4 linked regions of the Pelodiscus sinensis genome follow. The protein of the gene in region 4 binds, or shares a complex with, the protein of the main gene of each other region. Links are inferred from orthologs where the notes say so. Each region holds a gene or a part of one and is shown on either strand. Other genes may lie near its edges.

The links.
Region 1: USP39 (region 4) and PPIH share a complex: the UniProt entries of both Homo sapiens proteins name them as parts of the U4/U6-U5 tri-snRNP complex. The link is inferred for Pelodiscus sinensis from reciprocal best matches to the Homo sapiens genes USP39 and PPIH.
Region 2: USP39 (region 4) and LSM5 share a complex: the UniProt entries of both Homo sapiens proteins name them as parts of the U4/U6-U5 tri-snRNP complex. The link is inferred for Pelodiscus sinensis from reciprocal best matches to the Homo sapiens genes USP39 and LSM5.
Region 3: USP39 (region 4) and LSM8 share a complex: the UniProt entries of both Homo sapiens proteins name them as parts of the U4/U6-U5 tri-snRNP complex. The link is inferred for Pelodiscus sinensis from reciprocal best matches to the Homo sapiens genes USP39 and LSM8.

What each region holds. Positions count from the first base shown.
Region 1 is NC_134733.1:3,182,948-3,190,121, forward strand, and holds the start of PPIH (peptidyl-prolyl cis-trans isomerase H), read right to left. Parts: upstream 3,013-7,174; 5' UTR 2,762-3,012; coding exon 2,696-2,761; intron 2,329-2,695; coding exon 2,264-2,328; intron 1-2,263. UniProt on the Homo sapiens protein: PPIase that catalyzes the cis-trans isomerization of proline imidic peptide bonds in oligopeptides and may therefore assist protein folding. Participates in pre-mRNA splicing.
Region 2 is NC_134712.1:171,654,164-171,661,365, reverse strand, and holds the start of LSM5 (U6 snRNA-associated Sm-like protein LSm5), read right to left. Parts: upstream 3,017-7,202; 5' UTR 2,806-3,016; coding exon 2,760-2,805; intron 2,696-2,759; exon of another isoform or gene 2,672-2,695; intron 2,593-2,671; exon of another isoform or gene 2,400-2,592; intron 2,394-2,399; exon of another isoform or gene 2,204-2,393; intron 1,712-2,203; coding exon 1,616-1,711; intron 685-1,615; coding exon 657-684; intron 1-656. UniProt on the Homo sapiens protein: Plays a role in pre-mRNA splicing as component of the U4/U6-U5 tri-snRNP complex that is involved in spliceosome assembly, and as component of the precatalytic spliceosome (spliceosome B complex).
Region 3 is NC_134711.1:44,603,708-44,611,097, reverse strand, and holds the start of LSM8 (LSM8 homolog, U6 small nuclear RNA associated), read left to right. Parts: upstream 1-4,375; 5' UTR 4,376-4,490; coding exon 4,491-4,521; intron 4,522-6,468; coding exon 6,469-6,509; intron 6,510-7,046; coding exon 7,047-7,174; intron 7,175-7,390. UniProt on the Homo sapiens protein: Plays a role in pre-mRNA splicing as component of the U4/U6-U5 tri-snRNP complex that is involved in spliceosome assembly, and as component of the precatalytic spliceosome (spliceosome B complex).
Region 4 is NC_134738.1:5,400,038-5,407,283, reverse strand, and holds the start of USP39 (ubiquitin carboxyl-terminal hydrolase 39), read left to right. Parts: upstream 1-4,240; 5' UTR 4,241-4,447; coding exon 4,448-4,673; intron 4,674-5,112; coding exon 5,113-5,182; intron 5,183-6,462; coding exon 6,463-6,557; intron 6,558-7,246. Other genes in the region: C28H2orf68 (UPF0561 protein C2orf68 homolog), read right to left, coding at 2,643-2,758.

The sequences.
Region 1 (7,174 bases), on a different chromosome or scaffold from region 4:
CAGCAATTTGTGGAGGTCTCTGATGGACGAAGTTACACATGTTCCTGTTCAGGCACTGGGCTGCCCAGTATGAAGAAGTCAGCCAACAGTGGGCCAAGTCAGTAATCTGCCATCTCTCGGGTGCATTGTGTGCAAAGATGCTTTGGGAGGAAGGGGCAAACATGAACACAGTGGGCTGCAGGGTTTCTGAATCGCACATATATCCCCAGGAGCAAATGGTTGAGCCCTCCTCTTTTTTGAGCATGTGGGAATAACTGCTTGGGTCAGGCATTCTTTCCCTAGGAACTAGTAAAAGTCTGGCCAGTCTGAAGTACAGCTGAGTTTTGCTCAATCTGCAGATTGAATCTCACAAGGAGACAGCATGGAATTTGGTGCCTAGGAGGTGATGGGAAGATACGGCAGTAAGGCCACTACATCTGCTAGGCAATTTCCATTACAGGAGACCTGATGTGGGATAAAAATCACAGAATACTAGAACTGGAAAGGACTTTGAGAGGTTATCTGCCCTCACAGCAGGACCAAGCACCATCCAGATCAGGGCTACTCAACTTTGGAAGCCACGAGGGCCACAATGATACAGCACATGCCAAGTGGCGCAACATAAGTGTGGTTGCACAAATATGCAAATATATATGCAAATACAGCGAGGAGTCCTGTGGCACCTTATAGACTAACGGATTTTGCAGATTCAGACTAACACGGTTACCCCTCTGATATATGGAAATAGCTTCTTTCACACAATGCCCCGGTGCTCCTGGCACCACCTTCCTGGGGGCTAGACACGCTGACACCCTGCACCCATCTGTTCCAGCCAGACTGTCCGCTTGCATCTTTCAATGCTCACCCCAGCTGGGAGACGCCTCGCCATTGTGAAGCACGTTCCCAGTGGAGGCCACGTTCAAAGGATCCCACCCGTGAGCCACGTGTTGAGCCCCACGTAAACCCGAACTGCATCATAGGCTGAAAACAAACATAGCCCTGATCTAGATCATCCCTGATAGATATCTATCCATCTTGCTCTTAAATATCTCCAGAGATTCCAAATCCTCCCTAGGCAATTTATTCCAGTGTTTAATCGCCCTGACAGTTAGATGCTACAGCCGTCGATCTTCCATCGTTCAATTCAGTAAAAACTAAAGATGTGAATGTGTACCCATATTCTGTAAATCTGTTCATGGTTACATCCATCCCTGCAGAGATACCTGCCTGCTAGCATGTAAATGTGTAACCACTGAAAAATTCAGCGGTTATACATTTACATAAATAAACGTATTTTAACATCCCTAGTAAATACAGTATAACTGAACAGTCGATTAACCTCATGAATTCTTATCAGTTACTTTACTATTCTACAGTCCCCAGGGGTGGGGTCAGCAGCCAGTGCACTCCAGCGCCACTCCTGGGGAGCGCTCTACCACTGCGCACTCCTGCCTCAGCACCAGTGCAGGGTAGCAGCAGCCCCTGTGTGAGGGTGGAGTCTGAGCTCCTGGACCCAACGTGAGCCGGAACTGAGCCAGGATGCCTGCCCACCCAGCTCCTAATACACTTTAAATGCAGAGCCACAGCAGGGGTAGATCCCAGACCCGTCGCAAGCCAGGACTGAGCCGGGCTGCTGGCCAGCCTACTAAAAAATTTACTGGTGGGGGGCTGGGGAGGAATGCATTAACCTATAAGCTTTTATTTATCAGTTAATCGACTATACTATTACATCCCTAATAAAGACCCCAATGAGGGTGCCACCATTGGCAGCAGTACTCCTATTTCTTGTGAAGAGTAAGGGAAGTTGACAGGAGCATTCCTCCTGTTGACCTTCTGCTGAGAAGACAGTGCCAAAGTATGGCATAAGATACGTCAACTCCAGCTATGTAAAAAAACAAAAACTTAACTTAAAATTGCGTACCTTAAGCTGACCTCCAGTAGTGTGGACCTGGCTTTTAGAGTCTTAACCCTGTCCCTTCCCTTTAAGGGATCTAAAAGTAAAAGTTAATTATCAAGGCAGTTAATTTCCTTGATGATCAAAGCACATGTTAAAGAGGAGGGCTGATACCCTACAGTGCACAATCTACTGCAGGCTGCAGCTCATAAGGCTGTCTCAAAGGGACACAACCTCCATTAAAATTGCTTCTCAGACCCCCTGGGCACTGTGCCAGGCAGGACTGCCCCACTGCTGGGCCAGAGAGCCGGGGCCTCCTCCAGCCAGTTGCTGCATGACCGATCCCCAGGCATTGGGCTGCCTCACTGGGAGCAAAGTGCCACAGGCTACCTGAAATTCTCCGCTGTTTTGGGCACAACATCTGCGAACAGCTCCACCTTCATGCGGCCAACTTCCTAGGGGGGAAAAGAGTGTCAGCGCCAGGCCCATGTCTAGGGCCAGGGCCCCTCTGCCCCCCCACCCTGCCCCCCCGGGGCCAGGGCCCCTCTGCCCCCCCCACCCTGCCCCCCCCGGGCCAGGGCCCCTCTGCCCCCCCCACCCTGCCCCCAGGGACCAGGGCCCCTCTGCCCCCCCCACCCTGCCCCCCGGGGCCAGGGCCCCTCTGCCCCCCCGGGGCCAGGGCCCCTCTGCCCCCCCCCACCTTGCCCCCCGGGGCCAGGGGCCCCTCCCCGAGCTCACTCTGCCCCCCACCCTGCCGCCAGAGCCCCCTCTGCCCCCCGCGGCCCCTTGCCCGCCCGGCCCTCCCCGCGGCCCCGCCCCCACCTGGCCGCCGATGCTGACATCGAAGAAGACCACGGGGTTGTTGGGGTTGGAGGCCAGCACCGACATGGCGACCCACCGGAACCGGAACCCGGACACCGGCCTCCTTCCGGCAACATGGCCTGCCCGGGTTCCGGTTCCGGACCCGCACTCGGAGGGAAGTTACATGGCTCCGGGGGACCCGCCAAGGGTTCGTCCAGCCCCGGCCACAGCCCGGCCGCGGGACTAGAGCCCAGCGCTGGCTAAAAGACCGGCCGCCCGGGAGATGCAGTGCGCAGGCGCAGCAGGGGCTGGGCGTGGCAAAGTGTGCTGGGAGTTGTAGTCCGCGGCTGCGTTCTGTGCTGCTTCTAGTCCCAGCATGCCCCGCGCCACTCCTCTTCCCGCCAAAAGACCGTCTCACGCGAGCCCGTAGCTCAGGGAGCGCTCCTATTGGACACGGTGCTACAGCGTGGGGGGGGGGGGGCGTAACTATGGTGACCCTATTCTCTGAACCAAAGTTAGGGACATATTAGCCACGCCCCTGAGCCCTACTAGCCACGCCCCTGAGCCCCACTAGCCACGCCCCTGAGCCTGCAATTGCATTGACCCGATTTGTGTCTCATTAATTGGGGGGGAGGGGGGACGCCGGGGGAAGTGTCCCCCTGAGGTTATGCCCACACTGGCGCCATCTTGCACCAGAGATATGCAAATGAGGCTAAGCGTGGAATATCGCCGAGCCTCGTTTGCATACCCAACGAGCCGCCATTGTCTGCACTGCCCCTCTTGCCAACGCCGCTAGTCCTGAAAATAATCGGCGTAGCGGCGTTGCACAAGGGGTTTCTTTTCCAAGCAGAAAAGTCCCAGTCTTGTTTCTCTCTCCTCATATGGAAGATGTTCCTTATCCCTAATCATTTCAGTTGCCTCTACTGTACCTTTTCCAACCCAATATATCTTTTTTTTTTTAGATGGGGTGACCAGATCTGCATAAACAAAATACAGGACTATGTAGCACTTTAAAGACTAACAAGATGGTTTATTAGATGATGAGCTTTCGTGGGCCAGACCCACTTCCTCAGATCAGATAGTGGAAGAAAATTGTCACAACCATCTATACCAAAGGATACAATTAAAAAAAAAAGTGAACACGTGATTTGTCCTTTTCATATGTGTTCACTTTTTTTAATTGTGTGTAATTGGGTTTGGAAAAGGTACAGTAGAGGCAACTGAAATGATTAGGGATAAGGAACATCTTCCATATGAGGAGAGAGAAACAAGACTGGGACTTTTCTGCTTGGAAAAGAAATGACTAAAGGATGGGAGGAGGATATGTTAGAAAATCATGAATGGCATGGAAAAAGAATAAGAAAACGTTATTTATTCTTTTGCTAACAACACAAGAAGCTGACCCAATTAAAACATTGATAGACAGCAGATTTAAAACAGACAAAATAAATTATTTTTTCACAGTCAATCCATGGAACTCTTTGGGGATCCCAGGGTGCAGCCTGGGACAGGGGTACTACTAACTCTCCAGCCTGGGCTGTCTCTCACAAGCCTTGCTAGTGACCCCTCTAAGTATTGCTCTCACTCAGGAAAACAGCACGTGGAGCCCCACAGCTAGGTAGATTCCATTCATGTTCCTTGAGCTACTCATGGATCACACACAGAGGCACCAAGTACACCAAGGCCTCAGCTCCTAGCACTGTATCTCAGGAATATACCATATAATTTATTAGTTGGTTCACCATTTTGTCAATAGTAAGTGCACTGATGCACTTAGTGAAGGATGCACAGGAGCTTTTTACTTTTGCTCACCATTTTGGACTCACAGTGAGCCTCAAGAGAACAGAAGTTTTGCCTCAGCTGGTCTGGAAAAAGCCCAGCACTCCAGTGATTGCTGCTGCTGGTACCGTCCTTAAGGGTGTTGACAAGTTCTGCTACCTGGGAAGTGTACTGTCCTCTGGCAGAAATGTGGATCATAATGTATCTGCTCAATTAGCCAAAGCCAGCGCTGCCTTTGGAAAACTAATCAAACGCCTATGGAATGACAGTGGTATTAAACTCCATACCAAGATAGTGGTTTATCAGGAAGTTGTCCTGAATGTCCTGCTGTAAGGCTCAGAGTCATGGACAATATATCGTCCCCATGTTTTGAAGTTCAATCAGTTCCATGTGCATTGTCTGAGGAAAATTGCCCACGTGCACTGGTGGGACAAAATTCCTAATACGGAGGCTCTTAAGCTGTGTGGTGTCACAGGCATGGAGGCAATGCTTATGAACAAACATTACACATCCATGATTAGATTTGTGTGCAGGAAATAGCTTTGGAACTAACCCTCTGAAGCTTCCCCATTGCCTGAATTAACCGGACCAAATCATTGGTCATTAAGATACCATAATTATAATGTCTAGACTGACCTTTGTAATAGATGATAAAGCCAAAATAAGGGGCACCTTAAAGTTTGATAATTCATGCCCTAAACTGTTAAATTTCCTGGCCACTTGCAATTCGTAATCTGGAGCCAATTCCCTCTAAGACAGTGGCTGTGTCATGGTGGACCCTTCTATGTTTCTTGCTAGCAGCGTTCAGCCACGACTCCCATCCTCATTGGAGTAGAGGTACAGGGAGGCAGCACAGGGAGGACACAGCTCCCTAACGGAGGGGTGTGCCACAACCTTATGTGTTTGATTGAATACTGTGGGTGGATTAACACAGTTCGATTAGCATCCTCCTGAATCTCCATCAAACCCATGGCACTTACAACAGGAACAGGAGGAACTAGAACTGATTTGGTGCACTAAACGCCATACGGATCAACTACTGACCACATTCAAGAATCTTTTAGAGCAACCTCAATCTGCATGGCCTCTCGAGGTCCCTTCCAGTCCAGGACTCTATGATTCTAAGTTGCAGCCTCCTCTTATATTCCTTTGCCATGTGGCTTGTACTGCCTTTCTTAGCACATAACTAAGGCTCAGAGTCATGGACAATATGTAGTCGCCATGTTTTGAAGTTCAATCAGTTCCATGTGCTTAGGCCTGGCCCTGCATATGCTGCTGAGCCTCAAGCTGTATCCCCTGCTTTCTCCATGGGCCAACTGAATAGCTGTTGGGCCAGGATGGGCCATCAAGCAGGCGAGGCAGAGCCTTGTCAAACTGTCTACGAGTGTGACCCAGAAACACAGCACAGGTTTTGTACCAGACAGCCGGACAGACACAGCCAGACCCTGAAAGCAAGAGCTGTACAAACACACCCGAGAGTCTGATAACAATATGGGGCAGCTAATAACACGTCCAAAGCCATGAATCACACCCTGGGTCAGCCACAAAGGGAGCCTGCCAAGCCCACCGTCCCCCATCCATCTAGGCCAGAACGGAGCACTGGATCATGCCCAAAGAGCTTTGCTTGTTTTCCTTCCACCCAGAACCCCCCTCTTCTCCTGGGCTGCCCAGAACCACCCTTGGGATGCCCTGAGACAGGCGCGGGACTCTGTCTCCCTGCAGCCCACTGCCCCCACAGGCTCTGGCAGAACAAAGGGGGGGGCCTGCTCGCCCCACTGTGGCTCTGAGCTTCTGCCCTGCCTCCCTCAGCTCGAGTTTCCATCTTTGCCCCATTCCTGCCTCTGGGCAAGTCACACAAAGGAGGCAGCAGAAAGAGCTGGCCCCATATGCCAGCCTCTGAGGGCAGGGGAGTCCAAGCCACCAGCATCCAACAGGACACCAGCCGGTGCCTTCCTACCATCGTCTGACGCAGAGCGTCAGCAGCCGTCCGCATGCTGGTCGCTGGGTGGCCTTCGCTCTGCGTTTGCTGTGCCAGAGGGTGGTCTCGGTGGCTGTCTGCAGGTCACGTGTCTGCCTGGTCCTTCCCTCTTGCCCTGCCCGGCCCTCGGTTGCTTTGTGGCTTTTAAGCCTTCCCTTGGTGCTGTCAGCACCAGCCTCCTCCTGCTTACGGTGCCCAGAGGAAACGGGAGCTGGGCTCCACCCTGGGGCTCCTCCTGCCTCCTGCTTTCCCCTGCCTTGTGAGCCTGGCCCTGGGCCTCCCTCCACGCACCACGGGAGCCAGGGGAAAGCAGGGTGGGAATTTCAGTCCGGCTAGAGATCTGGGAGGGCTGAGGTTGAGTTTCTCACTGCTTGACCTGATGCCCTCGTGTGGTCCCTGTTCCTGCAGCTGCCAGGCTCTGCCCCTTCACACTAAAGGGAGGGAGTCTCAGGGCTAGGCTGGGAGTCAAGGCAGGGAGGGGGCAGGGCGATTTCTCACCTTCATACAGCCTGTGCTTGCCACTGCCAGGCTGGCGTCTCCACACTGACTTCTTGACCATCAAACGTGCAGAATGTTGCACAGAGAGTTTGTCCCTGTTGGTGCCGAGCGCTCACAGGACTGTGGGGAGCTATGAGAGGAGGGCTGGGCACAGGGATCTGTGATGGAGATCTCTGGGAGAGGGGCCATTGGGCATGGGGGTTGCTGGGGGTAAAGGGCTGGGTGATACTGGGCAGAGTGGTAAG
Region 2 (7,202 bases), on a different chromosome or scaffold from region 4:
CACATCACTCAAAACATGAAAAACTGACAATATGAGTAATGTTGCAAGGTAAGATAAATGCCTTCCTATCCTGGATTATACCTACTTTTTAACTCTTTATCTGTGGTCAAAGCAAAGAAGCAAACATTAAAACTAGTGGGAAATTCAACATGGATTTCAGATTTTAAAAAAAAAAGTCAAGGGTGTCAAACTGGAAACATTTTAAAAAACAAAGAAAATGTGACAGTCAGTCTGTGAAAATGACCTCAGTAGCCAATCCCTGCCCCCAAGAAAACTTACGTCAACTAGTTAAATGTAAAATGCTAATGAAGGAAAGGCAATGTATAGCTTTCACGCGACTTAGCAGGTCAAATTTAAAGTAGGGATGTAAAGAGTTAACCAGTTACTCAGCAAGCATTGGCCTTAGCAGCATGCTTACCTGGTAATTGGTTAACTGGAAGGTAGGGCCAGTGCGAGCAGCCCTCCTGAAGCGGAGCTGATTGGAGCAATCCCCCATCCGCAATGCAACAGAGCCAGCTAGAGAGGAGCCATTCCAATCAGCCACAAGCAAGCCCCCACAGCTTTTCTTTCTACTTTACTTTTGCTATAAATGGGAAAGAAAAAGAGAAAAGCACACAAATAGCCACACACACACAAAAAACAGAAACAATACTTACAACTCTGTAACATCCTCTAATACCATGTCTGAGGTCTACTGTCAAGGAAAACAAAAAACTAAAACATCCTTGATTTAATAATTTTATATTTCCATTTTATAAAAACAATGTAACTTAATTTTTAAAATAACTTCAGCTAGTGTGTAATATTTATCCATGCAAAAAGTAGAAGCATCTGTTCTAGCTAGGGATGTTAAGAGGCAAATATTTAATTAATCCAGTAGCCAATAGAATTTTTATTGATTACTCGATTTGTTGATAGGCAGCCCGGCTCGCACCAAGTGAGACACCAAGCCCCACTGCAGCTCTTCAATTTAAAAGGTAGTAGGAGCTGGGCAGTCTGCCCCCTGGTTTCTACTGCACTTTAAATTGAAGCCATAGCAGGGTTTGGTCCTGCACCTAGCGCAAGCTGGGACTCAGCCCAACCCTGTGCACCAGGGTCCCCGCAGCGAGTCAGGACCTTCTACGCACAGGGGCCGCTAATGCAAAGCAGCATGTCTGTGGCCAGGTAACCCCCCCTACCCCTGATAGAGACAGCACCGGCTCCTGCTCCTCCCTTCCCCATCTTGCTACCTATGTTCTAATAAACATAGAAGCTTCAGGGGGTAGCCAAGAGTCTGTACAGGTAAACTGAAAAAACAACAGATAGTCTGGTAGCACTTTATAGACTAATAAAACATGTAGATGGTATCATGAGCTTTCGTGGGCACAGCCCACTTCTTCAGATGACCGGAGTGTTGGATGTCTAGGACCAAAATAAATAGGGGAGACCAGGGGGGTGGGGTGTGGAAGAAAGGAAAAAATGGGAGGGGGAAGGAAGACAAGAAAAGGCTTATAAAGTAGTTGACTACTCCCTTACATCCCTAATTCTAGCTACCGGATATCCAAACAGCTAAATAATTAAGCTTACTTTAAAAAGAAAAGTGGGAATATTTGCCATTTACATTTTAAAAAGATACTGACAAAGTCATCAAATCCTAGGAGTGTGCCAACTATTTCTTTATCACTCTTCATCACAATATGAATACGTGAACCTATACATTTGTCCACAAGCTCTGCAAATAAGAAAATATTTTATGTAAGATTACATACAACTTAAAACATATATTAAGTGATCATCTTTTTAACACATTCCCTTTAAAGAACATGGTAAACCTGTACACTTTCAAAACGACTGCTCAGAACACTTACAAAAATCTTCTAGTCCCATACCCATAGAAGAGTTAAGCCAGCCTTGGGATGAGCCCTGAACCTCAGCACCCCCTCTTCTCTCCTTTCCCGGCCCCATGGGACTAGAGCTCGAGGGGAGTGAAGCTAGTGTCTTTCTCCTCCTTCTCAGTTCGGGGCCAGGTCAATGAGAGTTTCATTTATTTAGTTTCTCACTTGTGTGGCCCCCCCAACCGATTTTTCTAAGAGTCCCTCCCCCCTCTCGTTTCAGGGGCAGGCCAGGCCCAAGCCACCTAAAAAAAAAAGTGAGACAAGAGATGCCTGTTACTTGTCCATTAACGGAACCCTGCAATCAGAGTCCCAGGCAGGACCCTACTCACATCACGGGGCGTGCCCCGCACAAAACAAGACTGTGATGCCCGGCACCCCCCGCCACAGGCGCAGGGCAGAGCTGGCCACGGCTGTGTAGCGCGGGCTCGCCGCCGGAGCGACCCAAAGGAGCCCGCGCGACACCGCAAGGTGAGGCCACTTCCACTACTTCCGCCGGGGAGGGGCCGAGGGGGCAGCAAAACCCACACGCCGGAGCCGCCGCGGCCCGGCCCCATCAGATCCCCGCGGCGCCGCCGCTCTGCACCGACGTTCCATCGCTCGGGGCGGGCTGCGGCACAACCTGGCCCTGGCGCGCGCGCGGCCCCTTCCGCCCCTGGGCACAGACGTCACCGCCCTCCACGTTCCCTCGGCTTTCCAACGGCGGTAACGGCCCGCGCGACCTGCCTTCCTCCCCCCACCCCATCCGGAGAGGAGCCTCGGACTGCCCCTCCCCCACAGCGCCACCGAAAGCCGCCTACAAACAGATCAGCCTTCCCTCCGCCCCCGATCGGGGAATATCAGGGCACCCCGCGCCGCTGCGGGCCGAGGAGGGGGGAAGCTAGTTACCGAGCGGCAGGAGCTGAGACGGGTTGGTCGTGGCGTTAGCCGCCATATTGAAACCAGACCTGACCAATCGCCGCTATCGGCGGGTGGAAGAGAGAGGGGCCTCGGCCTGATGGATTGAATAACTCTGGGAGCCTCCCCCCGCAGCCCTAACCAATGGATGTCAGAGCAATCGTGCGCCCGCTTGGACGTAGCTGCAGTCTCCGGGCGCGCGCGCACAGCTGGAGCTCCTAGGCTCTGGCTGTAGAAGGCAGATGCCAGAGCCTGCTTTTCAGAGATGTTGGGCAGCATCCTACCCTCCCACTGCCTCCACGCAAATTCAATGGAAAATGGGCTTTTGGCAATGAGACTCCCTGTCCAGGACAGTTCCTTTTTTGTGGTAGCTGCCTCCGGAAATCTGCACAGGTGCACCACACATCCTGCCACCTGATGTATGGTTGGATGGGCTCAGGGTGATACTGGACATCCCAGGTTTTTATCCCTCACAGGTGGCAATACCACCTCCAATATGTAGGCCGGCCTACACTCAGAATGTCAATTGGTATACGACATCTCTCAATTCACTAGGCTGATGGGAAAATTCTAACCACCGCCTCTCAGGGAAGTAGTATAGGCAAAGCCTAAGCATTGTGGCCTTACTTTTGCATCTGGTAGCACCAGCAGGATAATGAAGGGCTCAAAGCAAATCTTATTTAATCAATTCCAGTGGCTACTGTAAACTTCAGGGAGGGTAATGAAGACCATATTTTATAGGGAAGCGTGACTTTGTCTTCCCTAGTTTTCAAAGTTTTTACATATGTGTCACCTTAGGTTTTCATTTCTTGGTTTCCCAAAACTTAAGTTAGGTGCTCTTCACATTCTCCTACGGCATAAGATGCCACTGGGCAACCTTAAGTCTGCATTAGCATTGGGTATTTAATTTGGTTAGCACTAACAATATGCATATACACACAATCCCAACTTAAAAGAATTCATGAACTAAAGATGGGACAGATACTCCATTGTGCATCGGCATCCAAAGTGCCAATACTTGAAGAGTGATGATGGTCCTAAATTCCGTGACTAGCCCTATTGACTGTGAGGTGCTGCACACCTTTCAGGAATTGTTGATGCTCGGCCACTTACAATAGCAGAACCAAAAAGACAACAAAAGTTTCAGAGAAAGAGCGCAGTGGAAGGAGCTTTTAAATCCTTTTTTATGTTCTTGTATGTTTGAAACTTAATTTTTAATTCCTTTTTATTTTGTTATTTTTGTTTTAGTCCTTCTCTTTTTGCGATTCACAAATATTTTTAAACTTTGCCTTTTCCACACTGGAAAGTTTATGAGAAAAGTTTGGTCAACATGGTGCCATCAAAAAAACTATTTCAACAGAGTGTGTTCACGCTTGTCTGTTGGTACCAGTGCGTTCTGTCCAGATAGTATCAACTTACATTACGGAAGACAAACTGCACTTTAGAAAGCCATCCTAGAGTCTTCCATGCCATCTTCCCACTGGAAATCAGAATGTATTGTGGGATACCTGCACACTTCTTAGCCCTGGTCTACTCTAGGACCTTATTCCCAAATATCCCCACCCCCCACTTCCCATCCCTGGTCAAATTTATAAGCTGTGTGTCCACACTACCAAGCTCGTTATTTCAAAAGAATGAATCACGGAATTCAAACTCTGTATTCAGGGGCGGACTGGCAATCAAAATAGGCCAAGGAAATGGGTTGAGAACAGCCGACTTTTTTACTTTTTCCACGCACACTATCTTTGTTCGTTTACACCATACTCGCACTGTTATTTATTGTCAGTTACGGAAAACCACAAACCCACAATGACAGATGATAACAGAACTCATCCAACCACTGCGTACTCTCTACTCACCGGTCAAGACTCAAGCGACTCCATCTCTGATTCCACCATTGCACAAAGCAGGCCTACGCATTGCTGTCATGCACCATCGTACATTGCACATTGCACGTCCGTTCTGTTGATTTCAACTGTAATGTGACGTCATTCACTTTGGCTCAAAGAAACAAAGGCCGAGCCAGTGTAGCAGCCCGACCATACCCGCATACACACACAGCCTCAGCCGCCTCAGATTTATTCAGAAACATTTTGAATTTTGGTATTATAGATTTTTTGGTCTTAGAACAGTGGCCTCCAACCTTTTTACACCCAAGACCACTTTTTAAATGTCAAAACAAGCCAGGATCTACCACTCCATCCTTCCCCCAAAACTCAACCCCTTCCTTGAAGCCCAGCCCTCTCTATTCTCCTCCTCTCCATTACCTGCTATCCCCAGCCCTTATACAGCTAGTCCCTAAGTTACAAACTCATCGACTTACAACCGTTCGTATCTACGACCAACCTCCTATACAGCTGGAACCCGAGTTACGAATGAAATCCGCACTTATGAACAGCGCAGCCATATGTAAGTGAATGTAATCCGACTTACGAACAGATTGAGTTATAACCTAGAGTTTGATACGTAACTCGTTCGTAAGTCAGAGACTGGCTGTACACTCTACACTGCCGGGGGTTTTTTTTCCGATTCTTCTGTAGGAAGAGGTTTTTCCAATATTTGGCCTGTCTGGATGGGACCAAATGTCAGAAAAACCCATTCTTTTGGAAGCCCCTTTATTCCTCATGGAATGAGGCATACAGGGCTTGCCGAAAGAGCATGTTTGCTCTTCCACTAAAAAAAGTGGAAGAACAAACGCATCCATGGACGCGGAAGAGTTTTTCCGGGATATCTCTGGAATCCTGAAAAAACTCCTGGGCTGTGTCTACACTGGCATGAATTTCCGGAAATGCTTAAAACGGAATACTATTCCGTTTTCAGTTTTTCCGGAAAAGGAGCGTCTACATTGGCAGGCTGCTTTTCCGGAAAAGCCCTTTTTCCGGAAAAGCGTCTGTGGCCAATGTAGACGTGCTTTTCCGGAAAAGAGCCCCGATCATCATTTCTGCGATCGGGGCTTTTTTCCGGAAAAGACTACTGGGCTGTCTACACTGGCCCTTTTCCGGAACAGTGTTCCGGAATAAGGACTTATGCCCGAGCAGGAGCAGAATAGTTTTTCCGGAATAGCAGCTGATTTTGTACAGTAGAGCATCATTGCTTTTCCGGAAATTCAAGGGCCAGTGTAGACAGCTCGCAGCTTATTCCGGAAAAGCGGCTGATTTTCCGGAATAAGTGGCCCAGTGTACACACAGCCCTGCAGTCTAACTGTACCCTCACTGGCTTGAGACAGGATATGTGGGCTCTGGGGTGAGCATGAGGGATTTGAGTGTGGGAAGGGGTGAGGGGTGCAAGCTCTGGGAGGAAATTTAGATGCAGGAGGAGGTGGAGAAGGGGATGCTGGATCAGGGAGGGGGCTCCAGGCTGGGGAGTGTTGGGGTCAGATGAAGGGGTGTGGTACTAAGTAAGCCACAGGCTTGTGGATGTGAGGGTGCAGGAATTTGAGTTGGAGTATGTCAGGGGCTCAGGGCAGGGGGTTCCAGTGTATGATAGGCTCAGATCTAAGATCTGGGGGGGAGGGGTGTGTGTGCAGGAGTGTTATGATGCTGTGGCCAGATCGGGGCTGGAGGTTGTTGGCCAGGCTTCATTTTTAAATAAAATACTATGACAAGCACAAAAAGTTTCTGCATTGTCTTTATTGATGAGAAGGGCAAGTAACCTGTTTTGAATCAGGGGTCACTGACTCACAGAAAAGTCAATTGGGCCACACAAGTGAGATGCAAAAAAAAAAAAAAAAATCTCCTCCAAAAACCCCCCAAGCCTCACTAATGTGGCCCTAACTGTGCTGGTGGGAGCAGGGGACATGGTACTAGGGAAGGGTGCTAGTGGGTACTGGGGCAGGGGACAGAGTGCCAGTGGGGACCGGGAGCAAGGTGCTGGGGTGGGGGCAGGGTGCCAGTGGGGGCAGAGTGCCAGTGGGGGACAGGGGACAGGGTGCCAGTGGGGGACAGGGTACCAGAAGGGAACGGGGAATGAGGGCAGAGTTTTGCACCAGGGCACAGGGTGCCAGTGGGGGCAGGGATTCCCCCACACCCGTCTCCTCCCGGGACTCCTCTCCCGTCCCCCTCCCCCTGCAGAGGAGGGAAAGCCCCACTGCACGCCTCCTCCGCGGACGACTCCACCCTCCCCCCCACCAGAGAGGAGAGAAAGCCCCTGCGCGCACCTCCTCTGGGGACTCCCACCACCACCACACCACTTCCCGGTATGCCACAGACCTGGGGGAGGGGAGCAGCCACTGCACTTCCAGAACCCCCGGAAGTGGCACGTAGCTGCCGGACTTCTGTCCACCCCGCAGGAAGCCACCACTACCTCCATTGTCACTGGAGGTAGGTAGTGGGACTTCTTGGGGGTGGGGGAAAATCAGAGGGGGTCCCCCAAACACCTCGCGATCGACTGGTCGAGTCCTTGCGATCGACCAGTCAATTGTGATCAATAGGTTGG
Region 3 (7,390 bases), on a different chromosome or scaffold from region 4:
TAAATGTTATCTGGATCTTTTTGGGTCATATCAACAGATTGTTTTGGGCTTAATCCTAGATTAAAATTTAAATTGTATTAGGCCCTTTGTAAACAGGTTGGGAAGTGGTCTCATTTGGCAATTATTATTCGGTATTATTTACATAATATACACATTGCCATCTTGGTATTTATGTATACATTTCTCAGTACCTTTACATATAAAATAGCCCAGCCCCATTGACCTCCATGGGCAGTGTACCTTGTAAGGAGTGATGGGGATATGATGAAGTTGTTAAAACAAATATGTTGCAATTGTAGAAAAAAAATTGTGTGTCTGAAAACTGTAGGTACTGGGGGTATTTATAAATTTTTTAAAAGGGATACTTCATATAACAAAAAGGTTTAGAAACACAGCTCTAAACCATTCCTTTTGGCTCCCCCCTCCCGTTTCCTTTCTCCTTTGACAAGTTGGGCAGGTAGCAGTTTTGCTAAAAATGTATCTGACATGTGCATGTAGTGCACGCTCTACCTCAGCTGATGCTGGATGATCAGAGCCTCAATTGTAAAGGAATTGGCATTATCAAGATGATCAATCCTCCCACGTTTTGTTGTGGATTTTCCAAAGAAAATTCTGGTGTTTTCTATAGGTCACCCACATCTCCCAGTCATAGCAGAGACTTGGGATTAAATATGACTTTCTCAACTAAAAGTCTTATACATGTTCGGATGCTGTGATTGTAAACACCTGGCGAGGCAATCTGCCAAAGGCAAAGCTGGCTTTGACTCTTGATATTTATGGCTTCAGCTGAATGGCTTGTGTGAAATTTGGAAGAGCAGCTCAGAGAGACCTCTCTCCTTTACTTAAAGATAGAATCTCACAGAAGCCTGAAGGAAAAAGTCCTCGTGGCAGACAGAAAGCCTCGCTTGCAGTGTATCCTCAGCCTTAGGCTACTTATTGCTTCAAGAAAGCGAGAGCAATTCTCGTGTTGTGTGTTAGTTTTATTTAAAAGATTTTTTCTGAGTGTTATTTTAACAGGTAAATTAATCTCTTACGTTCACTGACTTAGCAAAGGAGGTGTGGGAGGGTAATTGCCATTCTGCTCCCCCTATCATACCTCTGTTCACCTGCTCCTCCTCTATCTACCACTGCCTGCTGAAGCCTCCTTCCTGCCTCTGCACCCACAGCCCGACCTTCCTTCTTCTTCAACGGGGGGATAGTGCCCGCCCCAAACTGGAGGGGGTAGGGAAAGATGTGGTACGAGCTCCCCCGCCCCCGTCGGGCTGAGCTGTGCACCAGGTTCGGGCCCCTGTCATGTGGTGGTGGAAGGGTGGCGGGTGGCATGCAAATTTTGCTTTTGCCCCATGGCGCATAACACCCTCGCTATGCCTCTGCCCCGATAACAACAGTGCACACCTGGTTACAGAGCTCTGCAACTTTGTTCTCACCCACAACTACTTCCAGTTCAGAAACAATTTCTATCTCCAAATTAGCGGCACAGCCACAGGCACTCGCATGGCACCACAATATGCCAACATCTTTATGGCTGACCTTGAACGTTTCCTCAGCTCTCGCCCCCTAATATCCCTACTTTACGTACACTACATCGATGACATCTTCATCATATGGACCCACAGAAAAGACATTCTTAAATAATTCCACAAGGATTTCAACAACTTCCACCCTACTATCAACCTCAGCCTGGGCCAGTCCACAAGGGAAATCCACTTCCTGGACACTACAGTACAATTAAATAATGGACAAATTTCCACCACCCTATATCATAAATCCACCGAATGCTACACTTACCTTCATGCTTCCAGCTTCCATCCCAGACACATTTTTCAGTCGATTGTATACAGCCAAGCCCTACGATACAACTGGATTTTCTCCGACCCCACCGACAGAGACAATCACCTACAGGATCTTTACAGAGCATTCCTAAAACTGAAATACTGGGGAAGTGAAAAAACAAATTGACAGAGACAAAAAAAATACCCAGACATGAACTACTTCAAGACAGGCCCAAAAGAGAAAATAACAGAATTCTTCTTGTTACCTACAGTTCACAACTCAGACCCCTCCAACACATTACACACAATTTACAACCCATCTTGGAAAATGATCCCTCACTCTCAGAGGCCTTAGGAGAAAAACCTATTCTTGCTTACAGACAAACCCCTAACCTGAAACGTATTCTTTCTGATAACTATGCCACACAACCACATCATAAGCCTTTAGGAACCCAGCCCTGCGACCAAAAAAGATGCCAACTCTGCCCACATATCTACACTGACGAATTCATAACTGGAGCAAACAACATAAGCCACAAAATCAAAGGGTCATTTGACTGCACATCTAGTAATTTAATCTATGCCATCAAATGCCAGCAGTGCCCCACTGCAATATATATTGGACAAACAGGACGGTCTCTGCAGGAAAGAATCAATGGACACATATCAGATATACGTAAAGGGAACATAGAGAAGCCTGTTAGTGAATATTTCTGTTTGCCTAACCACAGTTTTACAGACCTGCAAGCGGCTGTCTTGTCACAGGCCAGCTCCACAAGCCAGATACATAGGGAAGAACTGGAATCACAGTTCATCCACAAATTCAGTTCACATGCTAATGGACCCAATAGTGATATGGGCTGGCTAGGACACTACCTACTTAGTATCCATTGAAGGTGCTAACAGCTCTCTGAGTGGTATCCTTCCTGTCTTAGCAATCTTATCTATTGACTTTGATTTTTTATCTGCTTAGGTTTAAGTACCCATTCTCCAGATACTTAATGATGCTCTGTCTCACATCCCCCCTTCCTTTTTTCTTTTTCTCCCCCTCCCCTCTCCTATTTATTTCGATTTTTCATATCCCCAACTCATAACTCCCATCATCAGAAGAAGTAGGATGTCCCCACAAAAACTCATGATACCATCTACATGTTTTGTTGGTCTATAAAGTGCTACCAGACCATTTGTTGTTTTTTCCCCCTCCGAATGTGCCACAATTAGGTCACTGAGATCAAGTTAGCATGTAGCCTGACAGGAGGCTGCTACCTGCCTGAGATACACAGATAAGAAAATGAGTAAGGCTACAACACAGAGCTCCCAAGGCCTGCATTTAGTGTCCATACTGAGGCCACCTGATACTGAAGAGGAGAGTTTTATTCTGCCTCCAATAACATTCAGGTACCTCTGTAACACTTCCATCATAGCAAGAATTCTTCCTAAAAGATAGTCAAGGCTAGTGATTCTCACAACAAGCATTTTGGTGGCCTCAGATTGTGGCCATCAACTCTTGCTGGTGGTCATGCTAACATCTTTCATAAAATAAGAAATTAATGTAAACAGGGATTTAAGTAATTTAAAATTTATTACAGGTACTGTCTATGGAAACCTGGGTCCCTGCCAGCTCTTTGAATAGCTCCTTGCTGGCTTTTGCTGCAGCTCAGCCAGCTGTTGCCAGAGCTTAAGCTTAAGTTCACTTCTGAATTTAAGAAAAAACAAATTAATATACACACGTTTGCACATCCAGATCATTGCAATGTATGTATGTAGGGTTATTTCGCAGACGTAATAATAAACAAGTACTGTGATCAGTGATATTTATATTTGTTTAATAATCACTTTTCGCCAGACACCTGATAGCCACCTGGGAGGCTGTGAAAAAGGATAAGGGATATTAACCTACATACAAGTGTCACTTTTCACAGCTTCCCAGCAAACTAGTGTGTCTGCTGAGAAAAGCGGTACTTGAATGTTTAACAACAGCACTTTCCTCAGGACTAATTAAACCCTGGACAGGGGCGAGGGCCTGAGGGGGGCGGTGGGGGCGGCAGTGGGGCCCATGGCGGAACAGATGCTGGGCTGAGGGCGCAGCGGGAGCCCGGGGCAATGGGGTGATGGATGCAGGTTGGGGGGCTGAGCCCCGCCGCCGTCTGGAGCCGGGGATTGGCGCCCGCTGCCATGAGATGGGGGGAGGGGTCAGTGCCCGCGGGCCGGGCCGGGGCCAGAAGCTGGAGTTGGAGGCTGGGTCAGAACTTGCTGCCGCCTGGCCAAGGCGGTGGGGCGGGGCCTGCCCAGCGAGCCCAGAGACAAGCCGGGCGCCGCGCGGCCCAGGAGCTGAACCCGGAGCCCGACGTGCCGGAGCCCAGAGTCGGCACCGGCAGCCAGGGCTGGAGCACACGGCTGGGGGGTGGCCAGGATCCCGCCGCCCAACTACCCGGAGCCTCCATCCCGCCCCCCAGCTCCTTCAGCCTTGCGTCTCGCCTGGCTTCGCGGGGGAGGGGCCAGCGCTTTGCCCAGAGACTGTAACGGCCGCAGGAAACGCCTGGCGGCCACCGCAAAAAACACAGCCCCCCCCCCCCCCAACTGGCGTCATGCGCGCGCGTGCGCAGCGAGGCGAGCCAGCGGCGTCTCTGAACGTTTGGCGCGGGAACCCGCGAAGTCTCGCGGGAAGCGGTTGAGGGCCCGGTGCTAGCGAGAGCGCGGGACGGATCCGTCGCTGCCATGACCTCGGCGCTGGAGAACTACATCAACCGTATCCTTCCGCCGGCGGGGGCGGCTGGGGGGGGATTACAGCGCCCTGCTCCCCCTTTCCCTGAGGGTCTCGGCGGCGACCTGTATGGGAGGCTCCCCGCCCCGTGCCGGCCGGCTCAGCTGGTCCGGGCTGTGCGGGGATGGGGCTGAGCCATTGCTGCTCACGGTGCCTTGAGAGACCTCCCGGGGACGCCTGGCGTGGGGGCAGCGCGGCCTAGTGGGCAGAGCACTGAGCTGGGACTTGGCTCTGCCCAGTTAGGTGCCATGGGGCAAGTCGCTGCCAGTGCCTCAGTTTACCCAGTTGGAAAACGGGGACAATGAGAGTGACCCCGGCGGGGCTCCGAGGCTGAACACGCAGCTTGAAACGAGGGCAGGAGCGTTTAGTTGTCAGGGTGATTGTCTCACAGACCAGCCAGGGATGCGCCCGAATCAGCATCTCGGGGTGTTTTGAAGGGAAGACTGTTCGTTACTTGGAGTAATGTGCCCAGCACAAATGATGGTCAGTACGGGGTGAGCTGGGACCTGCAGATCAGACTCGTTACTCTAATGATCCAATTCTGGTCTTACATCTAGTGAATCTGTAGTCCAGAGTCAGAAACAGAGATGGGGGGGCATAACCAAAACTCTTTAGGGAGTCAGCCTAGACAGGGTGGCTGACACTGGCCAGGTGACAAAGAAAAATGCTTTCCTCAATATTTGGGGGTCTGCTGCTTTCTGTGAGTACAATTAGTGGACATGGGACAGGAAAATATCATGAGGGCAATGTGGGATAAACCTTTAGTTCCTCCTCATCTGACTCCTTACATTTGAACAATCAGTGCCTTGAGTTAAAGGCCACTTTGCTATACAGGCAGTCCCCGGGTTACGTACAAGATAGGGACTGTAGGTTTGTTCTTAAGTTGAATCTGTATGTAAGTCGGAACTGGCGTCCAGATTCAGCCGCTGCTGAAACTGATCAATTTCAACAGCGGCTGAATCTGGACGCCAGTTCTGACTTACATACAGATTCAACTTAAGAACCCCAGGCATCCCCAAGTCACCTGCTGCTGAAACTGATCAGCGGCTGATTCCAGGAAGCCTGGGGCAGGGGCTTCCTGTAGTCAGCCACTGGTCAGTTTCAGCAGCGGCTGACTTGGGGACGCCTGGGGCAGAGCAGCTGGGGTGCTGCTGGGTTGGTCCAGTAGCGCCGCCGCTCCTCGGCGCTACTGGACCAACCCAGCAGCACCCAAGCTGCTCTGCCCCAGGCGTCCTGATTCAGACGCTGCTGAAACTGACCAGCAGTGGCTGAATCAGGACGCCTGGGGCAGAGCAGCTGGGGTGCTGCCGGGTTGGTCCAGTAGCGCCCAGAGCGGCGCTACGGGACCAACCGGCAGCGCCCCAGCTGCTGTACCACAGGCGTCCGGAGCAAAGCCGCGGAGCCCGGGGGCAGCGGGACAGCCCAGACACGCCGTGGCTGTCCTGCTGCCCTTGGGCTCCTTGGCTTTGCTCTGCTTTGCTCCCCGTCTCCCTGGTCTGCAGACCAGGGGGACGGGGAGCAAAGCGGCGGAACACGTGGGCAGCGGACAGCCTCCGCCGCTTTGCTTCCTCTTCCTGGTCTGCTGGAGACCAGGGAGACAGGCCCCGTTCGTAACTGCGGATCCGACATAAGTCGGATCCGCGTAACTAGGGGACTGCCTGTATAGTTCTCCAGCCTTTAGGGAAAAAGGAAAACAGTGTGATGCTGGTTTGACCAAACAAAAAAAATTACCTAGATGACTGCTAATTTCAGAGGTTGATTTCATCACTCAGTTAACAGATTTCTTTAACAATTTTTTGAGTAAGAAATTCTTAAGGAACAGAGTCTAATTTCTTGCCTCATAATTTATATTACAGATTTTGTTGAACTTAACATATTGTTTCAAGCTGTGAATATATATATTTTGAAAGATTTCCTTGACTATACTGTTAGGCACTGTAGCAGTTATTACTTCTGATGGAAGAATGATTGTGGTGAGTATAAATTAGTACTATGCAAATAGTGTTGCTTGGAGTATGTGAGTTTTTAGAAAACAGAACATTCAACTTCTAATGGCAGATGCTACAAACAAATAAAGCTTGGAAACAGCTCATCTTGAACATTTCTCATCTTTCATACAGAACCTAAGTAATTTTTTTTATAAAAAGAGACATCACTTTTAAAAGTCTGTCAGTTTAAAACAAACAAGGAAAACTACAGCAGAAATGGTGAAACTGGCTATTTGTAAGGGGCTCTCTACTGCACAAAGTATGCTTGAAAAAAGTGACTCATATTCAAGTTACACTAATCTTAACTCCTTGCTACTTGTAATACATGATAGTAAATAATTGTCTTAAACTGACTCTGTTTTCAAGTTCCAGTCTCTAACAGAGTATGTGTTTATTCAGCTTTAAAACTCAGAATAAAATCTGTTAACTCTTCTATAATATACTGCTACCTGGGATATGCTTGTGACCTAAAATGAGAAACTTAAAGATAATTGGAATTCAAAATTTTTGTGCACTTTTTAGGGAACCCTCAAAGGTTTTGATCAGACCATCAACTTGATTTTGGATGAAAGCCATGAACGGGTGTTCAGTTCTTCACAAGGAGTTGAACAAGTAGTATTGGGACTGTATATTGTTAGAGGAGATAATGTGTAAGTACAGCTGCTGCTTTTTTCTAAACCAGTCAAATCACAATTAGTTAATGTTATAAATTAAAGCTGTAGTGATGCAAGATGTCAGGTTGATAGCCCTAGAAACCCTAAATTATTTTTACTCACATGTTCAGAACATACGGTAACAGCAAACCTGCCTTGGCCTTTGATGTAGTAGGCAAACATCTCTAGAATGACTAAAATAGTTGTCTCCAG
Region 4 (7,246 bases):
GCTGGGGGGTCCCGGTGCCGGGGGGGAGCAATGCTGGAGGGGTTCCGGGGGGGCAGGGCTGGGCGGTCCCGGTGCCGGGGGGGCAATGCTGGGGGGGTTCCGGGGGGGCAGGGCTGGGCGGTCCCGGTGCCGGGGGGGAGCAATGCTGGGGAGGTTCCGGGAGGGCAGGGCTGGGCGGTCCCGGTGCCGGGGGGAGCAATGCTGGGGGGGTTCCGGGGGGGCAGGGCTGGGGGGTCCCGGTGCCGGGGGGAGCAATGCTGGGGGGGTTCCGGGGGGGCAGGGCTGGGGGGTCCCGGTGCCGGGGGGGCAATGCTGGGGGGGTTCCGGGGGGGCAGGGCTGGGGGGTCCCGGTGCCGGGGGGAGCAATGCTGGGGGGGTTCTGGGGGAGCAATGCTGGGGGGGTTCCGGGGGGGCAGGGCTGGGGGGTCCCGGTGCCGGGGGGGAGCAATGCTGGGGGGGTTCCGGGGGGGCAGGGCTGGGCAGTCCCGGTGCCGGGGGGGCAATGCTGGGGGGGTTCCGGGGGGGCAGGGCTGGGGGGTCCCGGTGCCGGGGGGAGCAATGCTGGGGGGGTTCCGGGGGGGCAGGGCTGGGGGGTCCCGGTGCCGGGGGGCAATGCTGGGGGGGTTCCGGGGGGCAGGGCTGGGGGGTCCCGGTGCCGGGGGGAGCAATGCTGGGGGGGTTCTGGGGAGCAATGCTGGGGGGGTTCCGGGGGGGCAGGGCTGGGGGGTCCCGGTGCCGGGGGGGAGCAATGCTGGGGGGGTTCGGGGGGGCAGGGCTGGGCAGTCCCGGTGCCGGGGGGGGCAATGCTGGGGGGGTTCCGGGGGGGGCAGGGCTGGGCGGTCCCGGTGCCGGGGGGGAGCAATGCTGGGGAGGTTCCGGGGGGGCAGGGCTGGGCGGTCCCGGTGCCGGGGGGAGCAATGCTGGGGGGGTTCCGGGGGGGCAGGGCTGGGGGGTCCCGGTGCCGGGGGAGCAATGCTGGGGGGGTTCCGGGGGGCAGGGCTGGGGGGTCCCGGTGCCGGGGGGGCAATGCTGGGGGGGTTCCGGGGGGGCAGGGCTGGGGGGTCCCGGTGCGGGGGGAGCAATGCTGAGGGGGTTCCGGGGGGGCAGGGCTGGGGGGTCCCGGTGCCGGGGGAGCAATGCTGGGGGGGTTCCGGGGGAGCAATGCTGGGGGGGTTCCGGGGGGGCAGGGCTGGGCGGTCCCGGTGCCGGGGGGAGCAATGCTGGGGGGGTGCCGGGGGGGCAGGGCTGGGCGGGTCCCGGTGCCGGGGGGGAGCAATGCTGGGGGGGCTCCGGGGGGGCAGGGCTGGGTGGTCCCGGTGCCGGGGGGGCAGGGCTGGGGGGTCCCGGTGCCGGGGGGAGCAATGCTGGGGGGGTTCCGGGGGGCAGGGCTGGGGGGTCCCGGTGCCGGGGGGAGCAATGCTGGGGGGGTTCCGGGGGAGCAATGCTGGGGGGGTTCCGGGGGGGCAGGGCTGGGCGGTCCCGGTGCCGGGGGGAGCAATGCTGGGGGGGTGCCGGGGGGGCAGGGCTGGGCGGTCCCGGTGCCGGGGGGGAGCAATGCTGGGGGGGGTGCGGGGGGGCAGGGCTGGGCGGTCCCGGGGGGGCAGGGCTGGGGGGTCCCGGTGCCGGGGGGAGCAATGCTGGGGGGGTTCCGGGGGGGCAGGGCTGGGCGGTCCCGGTGCCGGGGGGGCAGGGCTGGGGGGTCCCGGTGCCGGGGGGAGCAATGCTGGGGGGGTTCCGGGGGGGCAGGGCTGGGGGGTCCCGGTGCCGGGGGGAGCAATGCTGGGGGGGTTCCGGGGGGGGCAGGGCTGGGCGGTCCCGGGGGGAGCAATGCTGGGGGGGTGCCGGGGGGGCAGGGCTGGGCGGTCCCGGTGCCGGGGGGAGCAATGCTGGGGGGTTCCGGGGGAGCAATGCTGGGGGGGTTCCGGGGGGGGGTCCCGGTGCCGGGGGGAGCAATGCTGGGGGGGTTCCGGGGGAGCAATGCTGGGGGGGTTCCGGGGGGGCAGGGCTGGGGGGTCCCGGTGCCGGGGGGAGCAATGCTGGGGGGGTGCCGGGGGGGCAGGGCTGGGGGGTCCCGGTGCCGGGGGGAGCAATGCTGGGGGGTTCCGGGGGGGCAGGGCTGGGCGGTCCCGGTGCCGGGGGGGCAGGGCTGGGGGGTCCCGGTGCCGGGGGGAGCAATGCTGGGGGGGTTCCGGGGGGGCAGGGCTGGGGGGTCCCGGTGCCGGGGGGAGCAATGCTGGGGGGGTTCCGGGGGAGCAATGCTGGGGGGGTCCCGGTGCCGGGGGGGAGCAATGCTGGGGGGGTCCCGGTGCCGGGGGGGCAGGGCTGGGGGGTCCCGGTGCCGGGGGGAGCAATGCTGGGGGGTTCCGGGGGAGCAATGCTGGGGGGTTCCGGGGGGGCAGGGCTGGGCGGTCCCGGTGCCGGGGGGAGCAATGCTGGGGGGGTTCCGGGGGGGCAGGGCTGGGGGGGTCCCGGTGCCGGGGGGAGCAATGCTGGGGGGTTCCGGGGGAGCAATGCTGGGGGGGTGCCGGGGGGGCAGGGCTGGGGGGTCCCGGTGCCGGGGGGAGCAATGCTGGGGGGGGTCCCGGTGCCGGGGGAGCAATGCTGGGGGGTTCCGGGGGGGCAGGGCTGGGCGGTCCCGGTACCTGGCGATCTGGTTGCGCCGGATGTGCCGCACGAAGCCGTGGCTCAAGTCGAGCCGCCCCCCCGGCCGGCAGCCGCCCCAGGCCGGGCCCCGCTCCGCCTCCGGCCCCGCGTCCATCGGCCCCCGCCTCGCCCCGCGCCGAGAGCGGCCGCGCCGGCCCCGAGACCCGCCCCCGGCCCCGCCCGGCCGAGCCGCGAGAGCCGCCCCGGGGCTCCCCGAGTCTGCAGCCCCCGCCCCCCCGACCAGCCCCCCCCCCGCACAGACCATTCGGCGCACCCCGTGGCCCCCCGCCCCCTCATGCGCCCCCCCCGCATGGGGACCCCCCGCCCTGAGTCCCGTGTGCACCGCCCCCGTGGCTGTCCCAGCAGCACCAAAGGAGTGTGGGGGGGACCCCTGGAGCTCCTGCAGCGCCCGGCGCCATGCCCGTGGGGTGTGCTGGGCGCTGTATCTGCCCCCCAAAACCGAGCCCCCAGCCTGGGCGCAGGGCGACCCTGCCCGCTCGGGTCTGGCCTGGCTGCCCCGCTGCTGGAGCCACTGGGCCAGGCCCTGCAGGGCAGCAGCTGGTGCACCCGCTGCATCGGGAGCAGATGTCCCTCCGCCCCAGAGCCCGTCTACACTCAGCGCTGTGCTCCGGCAGGCACTGCCCGGAGGGGTTCTCTGGGGGGCACCTCCCCAAGAGGCAGCAGCTGGGTCCCCAGGATCCCTCCGGCCACATGCTCTCTGTGCCGGCGAGGGTGGCTTGAGCAGGCCGCTGGGTGGAGGAACATGGGGGCTGTGTCTAGACTGGCCACTTTTTCCGCAAAAGCAGCTGCTTTTCTGGAAAAACTTGCCAGCTGTTTACACTGGCCGCTTGAATTTCCGCAAAAGCACTGACGATCTCGTGTAAGATCTCGTGTCAGTGCTTTTGCGGAAATACTATGCTGCTCCCGTTCGGGCAAAAGTCTTGTTCCGAAAAGCTTTTGCGCAAAAGGGCCAGTGTAGACAGCTCAGATTTATTTTCCGCAAAAAAAGCCCCGATTGCGAAAATGGCGCGTCTAGATTGGCCACAGACTCTTTTCCGCAAAAGCATTCTGCCAATCTAGACGTGCTTTTCCGAAAATGCTTTTAACGGAAAACTTTTCCGTTAAAAGCATTTCCGGAAAATCATACCAGTGTAGACGTAGCCGGGGAGTTTTTTACGCCCCTGCTGGAAGCAGTTAAACCGGTTTAGTTCTCTGGTGTAGACAAGGCCTGGGTCAGAGGCTCTGGGTATTGGGAAAGTCGCAGGGTCCCCGAAGCCGATTTGAGGGACCAGGCAGGGGAGGCGCAGACACGTGTCCGGGTGGCCCAGCTGCTGCTGGTGGGAGCCCCCCAGGGCCGGGAACCCAGCTCGCAGCAACTGCTCCATCACGGGACTCCGGGAGCTGGGGCTTGCGGGGCCGGGCGGGCTGCAGGGATCGGACCCAGGGCAGGGCGAGGCGCAGCACCGCAGACCGCAGCCCCCCCCCCCCCCGGAGCAGAGCCAGGCCGCACAGCTCCCAGCGCCAATGAGCGCGCTATCAAGGGGGACTGTCTCTTTAAATGCTAACTCCGGGAATGGCGGCGGTCGGCCCATCTCGCAAACGCTGGTCGGAGAGCAACCAACGCGCATGCGGAAAGGGGCGGGTAGCGTCTGACGATAGGACTGCGCAGGCGCCAAATTGATCCTCGCGCCTTCCTCTGGTCGTCTGTGCGCACGCGCCTCTCAATGCACATGCGCCACTGGGCGGTGCGCGCGCATGCGTGTGCGGCCGCGCGTGCGCAGTGCCGGTTGGGTCGCGGCCCGGGATGTCCAGCCGGGCGAAGCGGGAGCGGGAGCGGGAGGCCCGCGCGTCCACGCGGAGCTCGGCCTCGGGCCGCAGCAAGCGGGAGTCCGCGGGGTCGCGCAGCTCGTCCCGAGCGAAGCGCGAGGCGGAGCCCGAGCGGGTCCGGGTCAAGCGCGAGCCCGAGGACGGGCCGCCCCGGGTCAAGCGGGAGCGCGAGGCCGAGGAGGAGCCGGAGCCGGAACCGCCAGGTGGGGGCGGGGCGGGGCGGGGGGGCTCCTGGTCTGTAGTTGGGGGGGGCTGGGGGCGGGGCGGGGGGGGCCCTGGTCTGTAGTTGGGGGGGCGGGGCGGGGCGGGGGGGGCCCTGGTCTGTAGTTGGGGAGGAGGCTGGGGGCGGGGCGGGGGGGTCCTGGTCTGTAGTTGGGGAGGAGGCTGGGGGCGGGGCGGGGGGGTCCTGGTCTGTAGTTGGGGAGGAGGCTGGGGGCGGGGCGGGGGGGTCCTGGTCTGTAGTTGGGGGGAGGCTGGGGGCGGGGCGGGGGGGTCCTGGTCTGTAGTTGGGGGGGGGCTGGAGCTGGGCCAGGTGAGCCAGGGACTGCATTGCTTTCACGCAGGCACAACTTCAGGCAAACGGCTAATTCCTCGGCCGGGCAGTTGATGCTTATCCATGTGGTGTGTGTGTGTTTGTTCCAGTGAGGTACGGCCGATTCGACCCCGAGGACCGGCGCAGCAGACACTGCCCGTACCTGGACACTATTAACAGGTCAGCAGAGACAAAGCACAGGGTCCTAATACGTCCGTGTCTGTGAGAGTGGCTGGTACCCACGAAGAACCCCAAGCGTTCTCTGGATTAGCAGTCTCAGCTGGTGCTACAGGGCTGGAGGGAGCTGCAGCTGCAAAGGTCGAGCAATGCCAGCCGGAGGGGCAGGACTGGAATAGCAAGGGATGCTGGATGGGTTGAGCTGCAGTTCTGATTTTTAAATTGATGTGGGATCTTAGTTCCTGTGAGAGCCCAGAAATGGGGAAAGGGGATCCCTCATATTTGAGGTATAGCCTGCCAGCACTGTGGCATGGATCAGCCCTGATCAGTTTTCTGTTGACCTTGGTTCTCATGGACTCTGTCAGGTTTATGAGAAGGTAGGACTGGCGGGGACCTTCTAGGTCAGGGGTTGGCAACCTACTGCACTTATGGCATGCAGCGGAAGCTCCGCTCCCTCCACCCTACATGTATGGCGGTCACATGTTGGGCGGCAGCTGCTCTGGTGGCCTGGCCGGGGCCAGAGCCAGAGGGCACGTGTCAGACAGTGACAGCCCCTTTGGCCACTGCCAGGGTGGGGGTTGATCCTGCCAGGGTGGAGCCTTCCTTCCTGTGGCATGCCAGAGCCCCCCAGAGAGCTGGAACAGCCCATTGACCGTAAGTAGCAAGCATCACCCATTAAGGGTGATGTTAACCATTCACATCCCTGTTTTGAATAGGAGTTTAATAGTTGGGCTTTATTGGTTTATGTTGATGTGCATGTGCACGTGCTAGGTTGGCTTTTGTTTTTAAACTGCCCAGCTGGTGGCCTTTTCTAAGCTTTTAAAAGATTTTAAGTAAGAAGTATTATTTTTTGCATTTCATAGGAATACTTATAATTATTTTAAAATTTTTATTTTAATGATAATTTTATTGTTTTAGTTGCTTTATAAGTGACAAACGGATGTAGGGTGTATATTTTGGGTTTCTCTTTTTATGTTTACCTTTTTTATGTTTAATATTAAACGTTGTGGAAAAAAAAAATGAAACCATGAAAGCATCACAAGAAAAGCTGGAGCGGAGCCCTGGGCAGGAGACCAAGCAGGGTGCATGGTGGAGAGAGCCCCTCCTCCCCTCCCAGGAGAGTGGCGTGGCCCAGGGCAAGAGGGTTAAATCTTGGCACGCTGCTTCAGAAGGGTTGCTGCCCCTGTTCCAGGTCATAGAGTCTAGACCCTACTTCCGTAGGCAATATTAGCTTGTCTGTTTCATGGTCGTTCTGCTAACTCGCTATTAACCTGCCATTTCAGGAGCGTTCTGGACTTTGACTTTGAGAAGCTGTGCTCCATCTCGCTCTCGCATATAAATGTCTATGCTTGTCTGGTGTGTGGGAAGTACTTCCAGGGTGAGTGCATTCCCGTAGACCTGCCTCTGCAGCAGCAGAAGCACTGAACTGGGCTCTGAACACTTGGGGGGCACTTAGAAGGACATTCAATTTATCTTAAGTGAGAATTTGCCTTTTCCTGTGGGCCCTGAATTTCTAAAGCTATTTTCCATTCAAATTATTGTCAGAATATCAAAGAACCTTTTCTTAGCCATTACTGTGGCTTGTGCAAGGGTTATAGCAAATGTGCGTGACTGGCGTGGATGTATTGCTCATCTGAACGTGTGCTTAGCTCATGCCCCTGCTGTTCTGTGGTTCCTTCTTTGCAAAGTCCCCTTGCAATCAACAGGGCCTGTGTCTTATTTCGTTTTAGTGACACCATGTGGGGTTCAAAAGAAAGTAGCATGGTAAATAACTGAATGTTAGAAACTAATGATCAGTGGGAAGTGACAGGTCTCCCATTTTAATAGTAGTAGAAATCCTGCGACTGGATCCCGGGGTTCTTGTAGCTAAATCCCAGCCTGGATTGTGGAAAGCTACCTCTGAGATGTTTGAAGATTCATCTTCCATCAATGTACCAACCCCTCCCCCAAAAATAATTCCATTTCCCCCTCAAGGACTGTTCTCTGCTGTGTTAGATGCTCAGAGAATTCTAGCTTATTCCTTCTGAATAGCAATGCAAGTGGGGCATGGAAGTAGCTGAGATTCTC